2 linked regions of the Arabidopsis thaliana genome follow. The protein of the gene in region 1 interacts with the protein of each later gene in a pairwise test. Each region holds a gene or a part of one and is shown on either strand. Other genes may lie near its edges. The genes, in order: bZIP58 and AT1G44830.

Region 1 (3,661 bases):
TTTGAAGAAACGATTTCTAGGTGGCTTTGTCAAACTCGAATTATTAGTGATGCATTAATGGCTAAAATAAATAGGTACAAAATAAAAAGAAGGGGCTAATGATTATATGGTTGATTAAAACTAAAAAGAAGAATTGGTCCACCAGTGTTTAGCAATCAATTTCATCTTAAATCTTTGTTTGCCATGAATGTTTTTTTTTTATTTTTTATGATGCAAGTCTATTTATGCGGCGAACTGAAATTTTGGGAGTAAGATTTGGTATTATATCGTCATAAGAACCGATACATTTAATATTTTTGATAATCGAAATTTATCATTCATTTGAATTTTATGATTAAAAACTCGACGCCTGGAAATTCAGCAACATATACTTTTTTTTTGATAAAAACTTTCAGCAACATATTGGTACAAACAAATTTATTGGTAACTAAGGCAGACTTTCTTGCAATCTTATAAAAACACATAAAGAGAAGTACGGACATAAAATAAAACAACGAAAACATTACTTTAGTATTCTCTTGAAAGTTACATGTAACTGATCTAAAATTTCATGTCGACCAGACTTGATTAATACTAAAAATGATGTCACCTGGAACACCTGTTCTGCCAGTGCGAATTAATTCACATCGATCGTGAAACTAATTTTTTTTTATCTTTTTGGAACTGACTCAATGTTATTTTGAGTTTTGTAGGTTTTTGATTCATACATATTTTTAGGACACTTATCGCTTGAAAAAGGCTTTAAATTGAGAACAATATACTATTTATCGTACGTCCATGATCATCACTAATATTCTTAACTAACTCAAGTTGGCTAAAAGAAAAAAAGATATAGAAGAACAATATTTTTTCTCGATAGAGAATAACATTATTAATGATATTATATCATATAATATAGTATGATCCTTAGGAAATCTACAGTCTTGACATAAGCAGAACAATGATCAAGATCATTAACACAACTCAAAATCTCTGCCGCTTTGGTTCGAATCCGATCTAGAGTTTGATATCGAATCTTCGAGCTCTCTTAAAAAACTGTTGTCGTCTTCGTTGTGTGACTTTATCTCAGAGATCAGCTGTCTGAGATCAGAAGTTTCCTCTTTAAGCTTAGCGTTCTCCTTTAAAGCAAGCTCATGGCTTTCAGATACGCGGTTCAGCTTATCCATAAGACAGTGGTTATCAGTGCGAAGTCTTATCACTTGAGACCAAAGCTCATCGAGATGTCTCTGCTTTCTCATTCTTGACCTACGAGCAGATTCCCTGTTAGAGATCATTCTCCTTTGTTTCCTCTCATCGATGACCATACTTTGTTGGTGATCTTCGTCTGAAGTTGAGTTGTTGCTCGTCATTAGATCCTGACCATTGGATGATGAAGAGTAGTTGTTGTTGTTGATCAGACCATTGAGGTGGTAGAAGGAGGAACAAGAAGTAGGAGAAGAGGGCATGTTGAAGTACTCAGACTCCATGATTGGTGTTTGGTTATTATATTTATCTGGTGGTAGATAGTGGAAGTATCCAGTGAGTTCGGCTGGAATCGTGTTCATGATCTTTGCTTTGATTTGTTTCGTGATATGTCTTGTGTTGTTGAAAGATAGTTTGTGGGATGTTTTTAGAGCTAGAGAGGGAGGGTTCTGTGTGTTGTGTGAAGTGGTTTTGAAGTAAGAGGAAGAGAGGGCTAAGGGTTTTATAGAGGAGGGAGGCAAAGTTATGTAGAAAATGGTGTTGAATATAATTCATTATTTTAGTAAAAATATTAGATACATAAAGATTAGTTCATTCAGAAAGTTCTAATACGATGATTTGTAATACTCGATTTCGTATAAATAAATATAATTAATTAATGATGGTATAAAAAAATAATCTACTTGATTATATATACGACAAATATATTGTTTCTAAGATTATTTTATTTTTTCTTTTGTTTTTTTTTGTAGAACCACAAAGTTAATATTGTTTAGGTGGACTAACTTTATTTGGGTGGATTGGTGGATTGATGGTTTTATGAGATGTCTCCAAAATTCAGCCAACTTATACTTTATTTGTTGCATATGAGTTGAAAAAGTTCGCTCACGTTTCAATAACTTTCTAGCATTTTTTGTGGCTGCCTTCTTTTTGTCACTTGAGATGAATAATCAAATTACAAAAACTTCTTTACCAGATGGAATAGTATTAAATTTATATATATATATATATATATATATATCTCTACCAATTGCATGACATATATAAATTTAAATGGCTAAATAAAATAAAAATAAAACGCTATTTATTTATATAGAAAACTTCGTATAACACATTTTAAATCCAATTTTTAACTAGAAATAGCTATTGCCTCCACAATTAACAGTACTATTGAAATATATAATGCTAATATGCATAATAGCTATGATTGTCTTATGTCATATCACCAACCATAAATATTTTTCGCGTATTAGATAAATTACTGTATAAACCACTGTAGTAATCATATCTCTCTCTTTTTTCTTTCTTTTGTGTTTGTGAGTAACCGTTAATTAATCATAGCCAATAAATATATGCATCATACAAGACAAATATTGCCGTAATTCCTTACGTACTTAATTCACTTCACCAAGAACAAACACTTTTTCTGGAAAAAAAATTATTGGGCATGGAAAATTATATTGTTTGTGAAAATTTCAAGGAACGAAAACAAGGTGGGGTTTCCACTTGCTGCTCTAATTCAAGAAGTCTTAATTTTTATGATTGGCGACTAAGTTGAAATATAGATTAATTTCAAGCATTGCATCTACCATGTGATATCTCCAGTAGTAAAAAAAAACATAAAATCGAAAAAAAAAATATGACTGAGAAATGTCAATAATTACATTTTTTTCATTCATAATTAAGTATGATCTGTGTAGACTTGACCGATGAGTGTTAATTGAGTGATATGGCTCTAATCCACAAGACTATAACTACTCCATACCTTTTCAATGCCTATTTGTTTCCTAAATGAACTAGTAATCATTAATCAAGTCCATTTAAAAACTAATTAATTAGGTGTTTTCCCACTATTGATCTTAATTAATAAATCAAACGACATGAGATAAGTTTTAATTGTAGATAACAAGAGACGCCTAAATCCATGTCTCTCTCGCTCTATAATTGTATAGATAAAGTGGTTTTTAATAATTAACATACAACAAGTTTAAATAAAATCATCGTCCATGCCTTCCTATACTACATTGTTTTCAAATGCAGATCGAAAAACGAACTAGAAAAGTTTTTGGTGTGGAGTCATCGAGTTAGTCCGGTCAGATCATGGGCTGTTACACAATTCAAGACACTAATCATACAATAATAATATATAAAGTAATCATAAGATATTTTAAATCATAATTAATTAACACTAATATAGTAATATATACTGTAACTAAATCTTGAATATTATAAAATCCTAACTGGAGAAAAACGTAAATGATAAATAAATCTCTAATATTTGAAGAAAAAAATTCTACCAAAAGGACTCGAAAAAAGAACAATATATATTTCAATTAATGGAAGGAAACCATAATTAATAATAATAATAATAATAATTAAAAAATCAGAAATAACCATGAATCAACAGTCTCCAAACGCTAATTATGTATTTTATCCAGCTTCCACTCCAACAGTCCAAGCCTTTTACTATATTTGAATG
Region 2 (3,619 bases), about 12 Mb from region 1:
AACTCATGTGGCTTTCTGCTCAAATCTACTGTTAGATTTTTCTTCAGACCAATGTTGGAGTAAAATGGATGTCAATTTTTTTACGATATCTAAGCACAAACGTACACAGTTTTCCACGTACGTTAACTCTTTCTCTTTGGTTTTACCAATTCTAACCAGTCACCACACAAAACCATTCTGCATCTCTTGTCTCTTCTCTCTTTTTCCTTATCTTTCTTCTAAATAAATAATATTTATACACTTACTCTATTCAACAATAATTAAGTAGGATTAATCATCGCCTTCTATGACAAGCCTCATGAAACTTGCTTCTTACTCTTTGACTTTGCAAAACTTTTCACATGAAAAATCTGCTTTCTGTTTAACTCATTAGCTAATACTTTTATATCCTTAATAAAGAAAAATCATATATACAGTACTTATATCGCATAGTCATCTTACCACCACTTATTTTGTATCATGTACACATTTACATCAAACAGTGTTAGTGTTAAAGTCAGTAACGCCAAATTTTGCATTCATACTATAAAATCTGAAATGATTGTTTTCAACACTAACTCTTAACTTTTAGGTTTCAGAATTTAATCAACAACAATATGATTCTGTACTTTTTCGTTTTTACCTTTTAACTTGTTATCATTCGAAGTTCTTTGTTCAAAAGCTATAAATCTATTTCCATACTTAACCACTACTACTAGATTTAGTGAACTCTTAACATGAAAAATATCTAATTTCAAAAATAATTTAGATATTGGTACAAAGATCCCCAAATGTTCCATACATTGTGAGAATTGATAGAAAAGGGAAGAAAAAAATGTATAACACATTGTATAAGTTACATAACTCAAGTATATATATTGAAACAAAGAATAAGGTATAATGAAAGTAGAATCAGCAGAAGTTCCATAATCTGATATCTCCTTCCTCAAAGAAATCATCAGAAAGTGATGTTGTCAAATACGGCGCGGAGACTCCATTAATGAACATGAACTGATCATCACCATCAAAGCAGTTGTACCATGATGATGATTCAGACAAGGAGACTTGTTGGTCATACTGTGACATGGAGACAACATCATAGAGATCTTCAGATGGAGAGGAAAGCAATGGAGATGAAGTAGAGACTGATGATGAGGAAGGATCTGTGTTGGCAGCAGCAGCTGCAGCTGCTACTCTTTGTATAGACTTAGGGGACATGTCATTGTTGTTATCACCATTGTTGATAATATGGTAGAGAGAAGTTGAGATCTCTGGGAAGTTGAGATTATTAGCTGAGGATCCTTTAAGACATAGGAGTGCTGCGTCGTAGGCTCTAGCCGCGGCTTCAGCAGTTGAGTAAGAACCAAGCCAGATCCTTGTCTTTTGATTAGGAGCTCTGATCTCTGAAACCCATGAACCCCAACTTCTCATTCTCACTCCCTTGTACTTCTTCATCCTTATGGATGATGATGATGTTGATGAGGATGATGAAGATGATGATGATGGAGATGACATTCTCTTTGGTGTCTTTTGAAGTGTTTTCACCATTTTTGATACTAATTAAGGGAGGAAGTTGGAGGAGAAGAATGGTGTGTTTCTATTTATAGAGAACAAAAATGGAAAGAGAAACATAAAGAACTCAAAAGAAAAAAAAATACTATGAACATAGTCAAAGAAAGTAGCATGGGGCACACACAAAGAGATTAATACTTTTCTTTTAAATAATGTAAGAGACAGGTGTTTTTAATTTATTTATAAAAAAGATTTTCCTTAATCACAATCCCATATGCTACACCCAATCACAGATCACTAATAAGAGAATCCCTATTTTTTATTTTCAAAAATGCATATTTATTGATTTGACCTCCAAGGCTCCAAGCTAATTCTTTAGTTCCACAAAAGTACACTATTGTTTACAACTAAAAGTTACTACTTCTTGAGCCTCAGAATCTTGAATAAAAATGTAAATAACAAAAATCAGTACTCATATGAGAATATTAATATCAAGATACGACAGAAAGTTATAAAACATTATAAGAGGAAACATTGGATTCTATTTTTAGAGGCAACTTCTAGGAGCTAAGAGCATGTGATTTTTTAAGGTACAAACAAAAGACAAAGTTAATCATAAGAATAATTTAACTATCGAATTATTTTGATAAATGAGATGCAAAATGAAATCACATGCATGATTATAGATATATATATATATATATATATAATACAAAAATTACAAGTTTTTTTTTTTGGTTAAAAGGCCTAAACATAATTCAGAATCTTAAACGTTAAAGTAGCTGAAGTCATGTTTACCAAGGTAATGCACAAGAGCTGGTGCTCTTCTGTCTTAATGGGACTTTTAAAACCGCGTTAACTAGCTCTTTGTGTCTCCTTGTCACACGTAAAATTCTCTCTGTAAAAAGGCTTTTACTAAATTAATTAAATTCAGATTCTTTTGTCAAACTGCATTGTAATATTAAATAATATTGTACTACTAACTAAATAAACTAAAGTAAAATCGTCAAACCTCATAATAGTCTTGCACTGTTTATTAACTAAACTAATCTGCGGTTATATTTAGTCGGCACTAGAATTAAATTAAGACGCGTAAGAGTACTACTAAACTAATCTATTCGTGTTCACGTTCTAGCCAGACGACTCTATTTCTTTTTTCTCTTTTGGGGTACTATAATATAACAATAATGAAGGTTTTTTATTCATATCAAGAAACGAATCAACAGAATTGTTCGTTGGAAAATGCAGGCAACATTTTACAAAAGTTTATGATAAAACAAAACCAACAATGTTCTACCATTTTTATATTAATATTTGCACTCAATGACTGTAATTACAAACGTGGTATTTGAATAAATAATCAAATTAATTCCATCTAAAGAGAATGATTCAAATTTTGACTATTTTACTTTCTTTTAAGAAAAATAATAGTTATAACTAAATCTTACGTGACGAATTCTTTAACATTAGTATTCTATGTGCACATCTAATTTATCAAAATGAAGTTTTTATATGTTTTGGCTCTTATATCTACAACTTGTAGAACACATTTCCTCTACTACATTATTTTCGTTATGTAGACATCTAATTTATAAAACATATTTATGTTTTTGTCATATAATCATGTTATCTATGTTTTTGGATATATCTATATTATTTAGCGGGTTAAAATATTTGTATATCCAAGCTTATCAAATAAATTATACTTTTCAAAGTCATTTACGGAAAAAAAACATTTTACATTTTCTCTCAATATTTTACCAATATGACTTTGCTATTTTCTAAAAACAACTATAACATTCTCATTCACCGAAAGATATCTCCATTTCATACCATTTAACTAATTCACTATTTTACATTTATTTTTATTTACCAATAAATATTTTCTTTTCACCACAATGTCACCATATTCACCCAATCACATTCTTTGTTGATTGTTTTAGTGTCTAGAGCTCGACAGTCTGAAGCTATACGTGTAACTGTGTAAGAACAAGAAGAAGATGAGTTACATTGTGTCATAAAGCTTGAGTGATCGGATCGGGTAAAATCCGAGAAGCTAAAGCAATTAAGCTAGCTACCTAACGAAGAATAGTGAGCGAACCCTACCTGAGGAAATAGACAAATAGAA

Evidence for each region.
Region 2: the proteins of bZIP58 (region 1) and AT1G44830 interact in a two-hybrid assay, tested with the Arabidopsis thaliana proteins (one large-scale study listed by BioGRID).

Annotation. Positions count from the first base shown.
Region 1 is NC_003070.9:4,649,834-4,653,494, forward strand, and holds bZIP58 (basic leucine-zipper 58), read right to left. Parts: upstream 1,717-3,661; 5' UTR 1,545-1,716; coding exon 954-1,544; 3' UTR 773-953; downstream 1-772.
Region 2 is NC_003070.9:16,931,700-16,935,318, reverse strand, and holds AT1G44830 (Integrase-type DNA-binding superfamily protein), read right to left. Parts: upstream 1,621-3,619; 5' UTR 1,528-1,620; coding exon 892-1,527; 3' UTR 751-891; downstream 1-750.